2 linked regions of the Lepisosteus oculatus genome follow. The protein of the gene in region 1 purifies or fractionates together with the protein of each later gene. This does not show direct contact. Links are inferred from orthologs where the notes say so. Each region holds a gene or a part of one and is shown on either strand. Other genes may lie near its edges.

Region 1 (6,279 bases):
ATGTTTTTGTTTGCAAACTGAGCTTATGTTGCAGCCTACCCGAAAGACCATTCCTTGAGTATGGAAAACTTCAGAACCCATCCTTTTTGTTCTGCGTTCCTCACCCCCCCCACAGTCTCAACCGTGACAGTAAACCGAAAAAAATGAGCACGCGTCTAACCACCAGCGCTGCAACAGTCTGAGCAGGAACAAAAGGGCAAAGACACAGACAAACGGAGAAGTTGGGCAGGGCTCAGAGACTACAGAAAAAGGACACCTGTACGGCACACTGGGCACAACAGAACCCACCCAGAACTAAAGCACCAGTTACTGTTGACCTAAGCAGTGGGAGGCCTGATTAGGGGGGCAGGGCTGGAACTACAGGATTTTTTTTTCCCATTTCTGAAACCAGAAGGACACAAAAGAAATGGCCCTGTGAAACTTCGCTGAACAGTCAGTGGTGAGTGGAGAGTCAGCTGGCTTTGCAGTAGCAAAATCCAACCTACAATTAATGCTCTCCAGCCATGGTGGAGATTATACACTACAGATCCCCAAATAACAGGTTGCAAACCACCGTCTGTTTCACAGTAATTCACTCAAGGAGTCCCTTGCCATTTTCCTTCTGTTACTAATTTCTATTCCTGGTTGGAAAAACAGCTATCCGGTTGCTGACAATGGCCTGATCCCACACTGTACCTGCGATACTGTGCATCACACAAGAGGGCTGCCCGTGCTGATATGAGACAGAAAGCACTGTATCTGCAACTTAATTATCACAAGTACACAGGTAGCCCCCATCTCCCTAGAAGGTGGACAACCTCTAAAAGAATCTCTCCTTTTACTTTACTCAATTTTTCCTCAAAATCACGTCTTCCAACAACTAGAGCTGGAGGCTGTGTGGGCTAGTAGCTATGAAGAAAGCTATCCCTCATTATTGACCTCAAACTGACATGGTCTTCACCTCAGACTCAAGGGACTATGAAATGTCCTACTTTCCACATGCTGTGTACAAATGTAAGATGAAGAATTAACAGTAAAATGTGGCACTGGAATTTGAGGTTTCAGTATCCTGCGCTGCAGAAACATTACCATCAAGTTCCTGGGAAAATGCCTCGCAGGTAAACACTTCCGAAAATTAGACGCCATACTTTTGAACAGCGAAGAAGGAAAATAGTCATCAATGATGGTCACAACATATGTTCCAAACAACTAAGACCATGTTCCAAAGTAGGAAAAGAAATTCTAAACCATCCTGCTCTATAAAGCCTTAAACGACTTCTGACAGTTACTAACTAGTTTAAAAGACTAATATACTGAACTCAAGTTGCCTTGGATAAACATCGGCGGCTACATACATCAAAATATTATTTACGGCAATAATTATTGGCGACAAGGATGCGATCATAGCACAATGTTAAGTCAATCCAGTGTTTATGATGAATCTTGCAGAAATCGATTAGGAGAGATGACATAATCCATTTGTAATCCCGCGGTAAAGGGTTATCGACTACAAATTGAAATCTGGAGATACAATCGGGTCTGTTTAAGAATATTACTTCTAGAGGGAGCAAAACAAAAGCACTTCAAGATAACCCTGTCAGCGCTAGCTACCACCAATAACAAGGAGAGCTCGGAGCTCAAGAAAAACTGCGCACTACTGAATTCCGTAACTGCGTTAAAAACAAAACCGGGCTGAATGAAATCGATGGCTCGATTAAAAAGAGAGAAGTGAGAGAAGGTCCGGGACCACCTCCCCCTGCAAAAAAAAAAGGCAACTCAAAGTCAGCCAACCTGATTTTGGAAAATGTGACTCATACCAAACGAAACCTTAGAGGGAAAAATAATTGAAAACGTTTTAGTTGATTAAATGCGCTAAACAAAAATTCCAGAAAGTTACTGTTTGCGAGCGATGAAATGCCCGAATAAAACCCCGATCACACAGCTAAATGCACAACGTCAGAAGACAACGCTGCGGTCCGGCTGTTTACCTGTTGGGAGACAGTTACCTTTAATTCACTCACAAAGACTGTAAACCTACAGCCTTGCGTTGAAGTCTAGTGCACATTTCTGTACCATAACGGTAATGAATGAAACAAAAGTTGTTCAATTAATCCGATTACAGTCCTCAAAGCACGCTGAGACCCGTCTGCCAGTGCTGCTCTGCACGGTGATGTAAACAGAAAGGCACGCGACGGGACTGCCTGTATGCTAATGAGGCGGCGCCTCGGCCAATCGGAACACAGGCTGCCCACTCTCCGCTTACTACTGTACTATTCCAAAGTGACGTCAGTGTCCCTTACCAGCACTTTTTTTTTTAGATTTCACAACAGTAATGAATAGAGCCGCCTACGCCGTATCATAGTCCATATCCGAATGCTAAAAAAAAATCCGGAGCTGTATAATTTCCGAGACGAGTTCACAAACACGTTTAAGTGACCGTAGCCGTCTTACTGATTGACATCAATCTGTTTTTCCTTCCAAAAATCGACACGAGGCTACAAATTAAACGGCCTCTACTTGCGCCACACAAAAGCATTGTGTTCTTTACTTGTTCCGAGTGCAACAGCAGCAACTCACTTTGATATGAACACAATTGCATGTGTTGGTACACCGCCTGCTAAGTAAATAATTACATTCATAACCATAGCTGAGAGCTCATTAATGCGAATGGTTTCAAAGGTCAACAATTATTACATTACATCTGCATCCGTTCTCTATAACGATTTCGCACTTTCTCTGTATAACGAGTACAGTCGCTGCAAATTTAACATTTTTCATTCAGCGTGTCACTGTATATCTGATACAGCGTGCTCCTCGCCCGTACCACTTCGGGTCAGATTCAGACGTCTGTGGCTTTTTCCAGACTCGCACTCCAGGAACTGCAGAGACTTCGACGTTTCACGATTTCAAGAACAGGTGGGTACAAGGACAACAACAGAAACGATAGTACCACCACGTGCCCCCAATGCGATACTTAATTCATTCGCGTAGCCAGCAAAGTGAAGACTTCATCTCTTCAATCAAACTCGACGTACTAGTTTTAAGGGAGAATGCGTTACTAACGTGACACTGAGAGCTGGAGCAATGAATCGGATATGACGCCTGTGTCATTTGAACAGCCTGTACACAACAATCTGAAACACGGGTGCATACATGTTGGGCTTCATCACTCCGTTCTCCTCCCCACTGAGAGCTGGTCTGTGGGGAGCGTATTGGTGCACTATGGCTGCCGTCGCATCATCCAGCTGGGGCTGCACACTGGAGGGGAGTCCCCATGATCTGTCAAGCGCTTTGAGGGGAGTGTCTAGAAAGGCGCTATATAAATGGAAGGGTTTATCCCTTAAGATACTTCTATTAACGGGTCTATGAACACGAACAGAGAGTTTATAGTATGGATCTGCTGCCACCGACAGTCTGAAATGTGAGCTTCGTTTCACTGTTGAAATCGACCGAGCCCCACTCTTCCAGTGCAAGCGGAAGGAGACCCCACAAATATCACGGGGATCTCAGCTCCCCACATGCCCCCCCCCTTCGGGGAACGTCGCCGTCTCAAACCTTTCATCACTAAACCGAAAGATACAGAGCACAAAGAAACGAGAGGACACCTCAGAAAGCATCACAGACCCCGAGCCCGTCCAGTCTCGCACGAACACAGCTGATCGCACCTCAGACGGGAATGCGCGTCGACACTTTGTGACACCAGACGGCTCGCTGGCTCTCAGCGAGATCTTCCCAGACACAGCGCCCGATGCGTGGTGCATCTCCTTCCCTCGGTGACGACGTGTACTGGCGCTTTTCGCTTATGAATTCACTGAATCAGCCAGCGCGACGGATCGCACACTAAACAAATGAAGCCCCTGCTGAGCCGGCGGCAGGCTCGGTGGAAACTCTCCTACCTTGCCAGGAACACTTCATCAAATGTTTTTTTACGGACGCTCTCCACATCAGCCCATTGGTTCGCAAGATAATCGTTGTGTCGCCAAGACACGTATGGCGTTAGCCAGCTGTGTTACGATTGCTTTTAAAGAAACGGAAACAGATGTCTAGGAGAGTCAAAAATTCATAGCAGTCTTGCAGTTGTATCCAGATTTTAATTAGACATTTGTTCTCGTCTCTCGGCACATGGATCGCTGTCGTACTCTCAATAAGCTGTGACTCGTTAGGGCTATTTCTGGTCTAGAATTAGGAGAGAGAGATTCCGTGTTACGATGGTGTCAGCCGCAAACACCCGAACCTAAGGGCTAGCAAAACAGTTTTGGTCGAACTACGCGATGGAAAACCTGTGTATAACGAACTCAAACCTCTTACCAATGATGCAAAAGCACTCAGCCTGCTCTTATAGTCCACATCTTCTTCCCTGACAGCAGCCAGATTTTTGAGGAAGTGAACTGTTTACCGGGCATTGTGGGGCTTGTAGTTCATTTATTCAGCTGGGGCCTTCGATTCCAAATCAATCCCCGATCAAGTGAGCACTACAGACCCCACAATTCTTTTCGACACCGCCCTCCCATCCACGCTCCGCCCACAGCTGAATGCTCATTGGCTATAGCTCCATCAGTCTATTGTACTACTTTTATCTACCGTTGGACGTCCTTCAAGTCAGTTTCCCTCTCACGCTAAAACTCACATTTGATTCGTGACCAAATACATTTTAAATAGCCAATAGGAAGCTTCCCCTTCTTCCAGCGGAAAAGGAGTGTTGCTTTAGAATTCAGAGGCGATTGGTTCCTTCGCATAAGAAACGGCTATTTTTGCATTGACTATCCAATAAGAAGTGTGAATTCAGGCCGGAGCCAGACCTTCACCCCATAAATTCATTTCGCGGTGCTATTGAGCCTCTCTTTTCGCTCGGTGGAGGTGAGTGGTGGTTTGTTTTAGTTGTTGCTAGTGTTAGTAAAAGCTCAGCATTTCCGTGCATTAGTTTTATTAAATCTGGCTTGTCTCGGGGAAGTCCAGCTGTCCATTACGAGTGCTTGCCGAAGTACTGAATGTATTGGGCGCTGCTGTTTTTCAGCGTAGGCGTGCTGGATTGACCTAGGCTAGGCCATGTGGGCCCAGCTTGGCTTTGTGTAGCTCCACGTACAAAGGTCTGCCCAGTTTGCAGACTTAAATGGACGCATCTGCGCACCCCAAGATGCGGCTACGGGCCTACATCGGGCCCGCTTGGAGTTGGGTTTCATGCGGGATTTTTACAAGACTAGCGTCCTTCTCTTATGAGAATAGTCTGAGTCTCCTTCAGTGTTAATGATGAATCTATTCTTATTTCTGACACTTCCGATGAACAGTCCTTGATTTCACTAAATGTTCTGAAACACTGTGGACTCGACTGATCGTCTGCACGTAGGATGCACGTGTAATATACTCGCTTGTGAAGTGAGAAGCGTGTCCTTTATCGGTAGAAGCTTCTCAGCGACTGAAAAGCTTCACCCCTGTTCGCCTAGGCTGTGCCTCTGTATTTGTTTCATGTGAAAGCGATTGCATGGGAGGTTGCGCTGAGATTGTTTAAGAAACCGGCTGTATATTTTACTTTTTGTTTTAGTGACACGTGGTGACGTGCTGCCGATCGCCGTGGAGAAATTCAAGATGGCGACGTCGCAACAGCATGTCCCGAGAGGTTGTGGGGACGGATCCGAGTGGAGTGGAGTGGCGGGGGTGTATCCGCAGGCAATCGAGTGACTTGAAATGGTGAGTCACCTGCGCGAAAATGGGCTGGTTTTTGATTGCAATTGCAGAATTCAAATTGGCCCCTAATCGAAATCTAGGTGGAACTGTCGGTTCAAGGGCTCCCCGTCTCTGCACAGTGTTCATGATGAATGATTTTTCCATTTCTGACACTTCCAATGAGCAGGCCACCCTGTGGCCTCTGATTTCAATCCATGTTCTGAAGCACTGTGGTCACTGCAGGTCAGGTTTGTGAAATGTTTCCATGATGCCCTACTCGGGACATGATGGCTAACCAGGACCTCTGTGATGACCTGAGCAGGAAAGATCTTTCAGAGTTGGGGGAGGAAGGATGGTTAACGTTCCGTTTCTTGGCTCAACAGATCACCCCAGACGACGCGTGCGTGCCTTGAGACGGGCTTGGGTGAAGAGCAGACGTCGAGAGATTTGAAAATGGTGAGTTTATCCTTCCGTCCGACTTTTAAATAATCTCCCCTCGATCTGACTGAACGGCTGCTCGCCCTTTCCGGTCTCTGCACAGTGTTCGTGATGAATTATTTCTTATTTCTGACACTTCCAATGAACATACTGCCCAGCAGTCCTTGATTTCACCTCATGTTCTGAAGCACTGTGACAAAC
Region 2 (6,279 bases), on another chromosome or scaffold:
CAACCCGAGGGCCCAGGGGCGAGGGACCGGGGCGAGGGCCCGGGGCGAGGGACCGGGGCGAGGGACCGGGAGGACACCCGATGATGGCGACACGCAAACCTGCAGTAGCAGCACAGCACTGAGGGTGAACAATGGAAGCCGACTGAGCCTCCACACCGGCAGAGCCCAGACAATGCAGCCTCCCCACCTGGTAGCCAAGGGTCACAGCGGGGAGCTGTTCCAGATTTTGTCCCTGATTTCTAGGTAAACAGATGAAAGCCATGTTCACAACGGAATCCGTTGTCACGGATGCCCCTTGGGGCATCACAATTTTACACTTCATTAGCCTGCCTCAAAGATGTCTAGTCGTCCGAGCAACTTGGTTTTGGAGTGGATTATACAATTTTGGAAACAACTACCCCTCTCGGTGACCTTGCGCACAAGTAAGGGATTAAAAAGTGGCTGGCAATTTTGTGGGCTTTTCAAAACGATCCCACAGTAGGTTGAGGGACTACAAGTCAGGCCTGAGCCATTACTGATACAGTGGTTTTGAAAACAAAGAGGGTATCGCCATCATTCCTCCATCCTTTTTCTAATCGCTTTATCTAATACAAAATATTCTATCACCTGCAGTAAATGGCTAATTAGCAGCTTGACTGGACCTGCTTAACTCTTAACTGAAGTCTTTACATGTTGATGATGTAAGAAACCTATAAAACCTGCTGCACTGTGGTGCAGAAACCAGAGTTGGCCTGCTGTGCCTTAAGGCCGATAAGAAGAATAAGCTTTCTATAGATGTTGAGTTACAAATGGAAACACAAAACTGACACACAAACCCGCACCTTCTCACATACTAAATCCTTGAACCCCACCACACAACTGAGGAGCAGAGGCACTTGCCAAAGTCAAAGGAATGAAGTGAAGTTTTGTGTCCTGTTTAGGACGTAACTAGACGCACACTGCATGTGTTCTCAGCACTGTGAAAAATACAGCCCCCCAGCCACTGAGAAGGCCTTGTGTACAAGCCTTTCACCTCTTTCCATGCCTCTCTGAAGAAATCCACAACAATACTGCTGGTCAAAAAGACTGTCGAGCACGTGTTTTCGAAAGTTGTTTTTCTGCAGCTCCTCTGCTCTCTAGGTCACCGGCACAGGAACCTTGCTCATAGCGCACTACGCAACTTTCTATATCTGTCTAAATTCTCTAATTTAAAGCCCAAGAACGCATGCATGACAAAAGCAATTATTTGTAAGAGCTGGACGCTTGCCTTGCTGAAATACAACGGGAAGTTTTCCCCCCAAAAGGCCCCGTCATAAAAACCAAACTGTATAGAAGGAAAAGGCCATTTTGGGTCAGCTGTGCACAATGGAAATCTTGGGAAAAATCACGGTCTGAAACTGTGAAAAGACGTTGATGTAACTGGTAATTTGACGCACTGTCTCCAGACCTCTTAAAGGAATCATACAGCAGCTGGTATCACAGAAAACAACTCTATAGGTCAAGCAGGAACAAAACCCACGTTAACGCATTAAGTACACCCCTTCTTGGCGAGCTGAGCACCACCTCAGACAGATGCAAAGAGTGAGTAATGTCACAGCTGTCTCACCTCCTGGGGTAACACGCTTGCCTCTTGCCCGAGCAAAACAGCAGCAGCTCACTCCGCAAGTGACTCTCCCGAACAAGCGAGCAGTCCGACAGTCGCTTGCAAAAAGGGGGCTCAGTTGTCACGCATCCTCGCTAGCTGTCGAAATACATCGCTTTTTAATCCCGAAAGGCTCGTTAACTGGTCGCGGGACTTGCAAAACACAACCAAACTGGGAAAAAAACAAACAAAAAAACAAATCTCGAGTCCTGTCGGTCAGAGCACTTGTAGTCCCGGGTTGTCGAGAGATTTACAAGTTAACAAAAAAAAAGAGAAACGAATTAAAGTGAAACTGTGCTATTTCGTTTCTGGGTTGTTTTCAGCTTGCTTTTTTTTCTCCTCCCCTTGACAAGAAAATATCCAGACAGCTATAAAACGTCCAATGCAGTCTTGGATTTTCCTGACAAGCATGCCGAGAGAAAAAAGCGAAGCCAGGCTATGTCTGCTGCTAAATTAAGTTCAAACATTTTTCTTGGCCTCGGGTCAAAACACGAGTTTTTCTTCCAGAGTGTCGCTGAAGTCCACAATAAAAAAATGCACATGTACGGGTTGTTAACGGGTGGAAGGGGTGTCCCGGGGTGGAGAAAGTCGACTTCAAGGCATTTATGAAATCCTGGTGTCCGTGCGAGAGGGAGAATAAAAAAAAACAACACCACGAAACCGCTTTCTCGATCGCACGCCTTTCCTGCAAAACTCGCACTTTTTTTCCGCCGTCTTCTTATCACGCAAGGATATATTGTTTTGTTGTTGTTGTTGTTGTTCTCCACAAAAGTCCCGATAGATAGATGCGCAGGGCCTCCACAAAATAATAATTACCAAAAAAAAAAAAAGAAGGAAAACCAGAACACTTATCGAAACTATTCAAGTTAAAACGATGTTAACGATCTGTGGGAAACAGAAGATCCGTATTTTCATGCACCGCGGAAGGAAAAAAAACCCCAACAAAAACTGCTTGTCCGGTCGAGCAGAAAGATAATCATGAAATCACTGCCCCGGTTTGGGGGCTATAATCAGATCTGGCGTCGAGGCTGGGGACTCCGGAGAAGTAATAAAACGAGTCCGTCAGACTTTGCAAACCCGTCAAGTTTTAAAAACAAGACGGAGCAGCCCGGCGCAAGCAAACCCGTGACGTTATGGTGAAGTTGTGAAAATCAGTTATCTCCATTTTTTTTCTCTCTCTCTCTCTCCCCCAAAGGCGAAGGGAAACCGCTGCAAACGAGGACACCCTCTTTAAAAACAAAAGTGTGTCCCTCCTCCACCCCCAGAAAAGAGCTGCAGGTTGGCGCTGAAGACTCCCACCGGAGCATGTCATGTCTTCTCCATCTCTGCTTTGATGGTTTTAATAAGACCTTCGCCACAGCAGCCCAGATCTCTGCCCCCCCCACCTCAAAAAAAAAACTTTGTATTTTTTCGGTCCGGTCTGGTTTTGACAAGCGCGGAGAGGGCAGCTCGGCTGAAGTCGAGACACACCCGCTTTTCCGAAAGAAGAAGAAGAAGAAGAAAAAACAAAAAGGGACCTTACAAAAAAAAACTCACGAAACGGTGTTTGAAGGAGCTCGGGTCCGCATGCACATCGCTCCAAAGTAAATTTAATCTCCTTGCAGCGAATTTCCTGACTTGAAAAAAAAAAACGCACTCAGTCACCGGAACCCATCAGTCAGCTTCCGAAAAAAAAAAAAACCTAAAGTTATGTTGTTTTTCAATTAAAGTAGTTTAAAGCTCCTTAACGTGGCACAATTACAGCATTCAGCTTTCTGGTCAATAAGATGCTCCCCATAACTGTTGAGGGTACCGACAATTCACATGAAGAGCACTAAAACAGCACCAAACTCGCTCGGGAGCGCGCAGTTCCTCCGCAGATTTCTTACGGCAGCCAGGTTACGCGCTCAGCGCCCGACAAGTTCCAACACAGACACGCATCTACTGGCTGACGTCCTTGCCGAATACGTCATGAACTTTGTGCTGGTTCGTCATCTAGTTTTGTGTGCAGGGCCAGCATACCGCGATATTTGGTTTGCCCCCCCCATGAGCTTGTCATCGGTGGTCAAGAGGAGCGCTTTCGCTTTGTTGCCCGTCGATACCGGTTTGGATACTGATGATTCAAACAGAATATTCATCCTCAATTGCTGATGTTACAAATTTCAGATTTTTTTTTACACGAAAAAGAAGCTCCTCATATAAAAAAAAAGATGAAACGCTGATGTATTTACAAAAATGTCATTACTAGCATCAGAGATTTGATATTCGACTTTGAATATCTGTAAAACCTAAACATGATACTTAGCCGAAATGTTAAGTTTTAATCTGCAATTCAGATTTTGATATAATCAATATCAAACATTTTATCAGCAGTTGAGGATTTAACTAGAGTTGTGTACCACATGTTATTTCTTCTACAGAGAAGACAAAAAAAAACTTAAAAGAAAGAGTGTTGTAATACAAAGACACAGGTTATTGCAATTGGGTAGTTTATGTGCTCTGAGTGCACAGTGACACACTGTTGCCTCACTGTGCTGGAGTCCTGGGTTCAATTCTGGGAGCTGGGGTGCTCTCTGTGTGGAGTTTGCATGTTAACTTAGTTCCCTTAGTTAACATGCATTTTCACAGGGTGCTCCAGCATCCTTCCACAGTCCAAAGACACACTGGTAGGTCAACTGGCGTCGGGGAGATTCTGCCCTGGTGCGAGTGTGTGTCCTGTAATGGACTGGCGTCCTGTCCAGGGTGTACCCTGCCTTGCCAGGATAGCCTCCAGCTCCCCCACGACCCTGAAGTGGATGAAGCAGTTTTAAAAGTGGATGGATGTCTTCTAAATATAAGTAGCATTCACACTTAAAAACAGGAATACCTAACACCACTTTACCCCCATCCTCTGAGTTGAATGACTCAAAATCAGCTTCAGTTCTACATTTTTATGTGAAACACAATAACATTTATTTTATGATGTATGATCCATGTTGGAATAAGGCACGATTGTGGTAGAAGAGGTTATTTGGGAAAATCTGAAATGTGAGTGCTAAACTCCTAATACGGTCATATCTATTCATACCAAGAGGGGTATTACTTTGCTTTTTGATTCCTGAAAAAACACACACACACATCTTTCATAAATTAATGGTTTTAATTTCAAACAGGTACAATACAACATCCAAAAATTCTGAACAGAATCTAAAAGTCATCCAGAACATTTGCAATCCAGTGTTCTGGATTATGGAAGGCATGATTCCCCGGGAACCTTCGAGAACAGGCTGGACAAGATTCTTCTGATCAATGAGAGTAAACAAATACGCAAGATGGGCCAAATGATCTCAATTTGTTTTTATGCTCTTATGTGGGGGCCTTCAACACGGAATTTGCTCTTGATCACACTAGAACTTGTACTATTGTCCTTCTCACAGCACAACAGCCAACAGCCCCTCTTGCTGTCTAGACTGAGTTAGATAAGCCTCTGATCTCCACTATGGGCATCCCTTGATAAATATGGGCTTGACCCCTGATGATGTTTCCTGAGGAAGGTCAGCCGGTTACCATGGTTAACTCTCCTTTGCTTTCTTTTCCCCTACTGGCCCAGGGCCAGAACAGGAGGCAGGTGGTTAGAAGCAGGCTTAGGCCTCCCCCTGGATGTTGTCCCACACACGGATGACGTCCGGACATTCGTTGAGCACCTCGAGGAGCCTGGAGGCAGATTCCATCTCTCCCTGGGACAGCTGTGCCAAGCTGCAGGCAACAAACTCTGGGCCAGCCGCCAGCGTCCGCAGCCCAAGGGAATCCAGGGCCTGTCTCACACCGCGCAGCGAGGACACATCGCAGATGAACTGGGGGAAGAGACCCGACGGAACACTGAGCAAGACGTCCTCCGATTCTTTTGGTGATATGGCAAGAAACTGCATACTTCGCTGCTCAAGGCAATTTTCTGAACCGCACGATGCTTGCCTAGTGTAAACCCAAATTTAAATACAATGTGATTCATATCTACAGTATGTCTGGACATCATTAATGGGATAAATATAAAAGTTGTCTAGACAGCTAAATTAGACCATGTCTGTATTAATCTGAAGACAAAAAAGTGTTTCGTAATTTTATTGGCTCCAATATACTTTTAAGCTGGCTATTTCTGAAATCAGGGGTGGGCCGCAGAAAAACAGTTTCACAAATCACTTCAACGAAAGAGCTTGCTTAAGTCTGAAAACCAGACAACACAGGGAGACTGAGGACGGAAATGCCCAGAACCGAGGGCATGGAGGACAAAGCGATAACGCTAATGATAAGAAAATGAACAGCACAAACTAGACACTGAGACACTGCCATCAGGGTCTTCAAACACAAAGTCAGCTTCGCTTCTGTCTTTTCAGCACAATTCTATTACTTCCTACAGGTATTAAACCAACTTTGGAAACTGGATATTTCGCATGAGCACTCAGAACCAATGGGGACTTATTTACAGAAAGGAACAATAAGGTGGGTTTTCAGGTCATCCGAGGTCTCATGGCCTGCTGTGACGGAGACACCCGCAGCTAACCCCACGCTTGCAAGGAAGAGTTGGTTGACTGGGGCTTACAAAAAGGAAAATATGATGGTAATAAAAACATTCTTAAATGTCGCAGAAAGCCGAAGGGTTTTCCCACCTGCAGTAATGGCTTCTCTTCCTCATCTTCTGTCTC

What was found. The genes of interacting proteins can lie anywhere in the genome.
Region 2: the proteins of traf7 (region 1) and map3k3 purify together in Homo sapiens (affinity purification with mass spectrometry; 5 studies listed by BioGRID and IntAct, with this or other methods). This does not show direct contact. The link is inferred for Lepisosteus oculatus from reciprocal best matches to the Homo sapiens genes TRAF7 and MAP3K3.

The regions. Positions count from the first base shown.
Region 1 is NC_090714.1:12,215,333-12,221,611, reverse strand, and holds the start of traf7 (E3 ubiquitin-protein ligase TRAF7), read right to left. Parts: upstream 4,370-6,279; 5' UTR 4,288-4,369; intron 4,275-4,287; exon of another isoform or gene 3,876-4,274; intron 2,157-3,875; exon of another isoform or gene 1,968-2,156; intron 1-1,967. UniProt on the Homo sapiens protein: E3 ubiquitin and SUMO-protein ligase that plays a role in different biological processes such as innate immunity, inflammation or apoptosis. Potentiates MAP3K3-mediated activation of JUN/AP1 and DDIT3 transcriptional regulators.
Region 2 is NC_090723.1:1,798,464-1,804,742, forward strand, and holds the start of map3k3 (mitogen-activated protein kinase kinase kinase 3), read right to left. Parts: upstream 3,527-6,279; 5' UTR 1,586-3,526; intron 1-1,585. Other genes in the region: translational activator of cytochrome c oxidase 1, read right to left, coding at 5,224-5,433, 6,244-6,279. UniProt on the Homo sapiens protein: Component of a protein kinase signal transduction cascade. Mediates activation of the NF-kappa-B, AP1 and DDIT3 transcriptional regulators.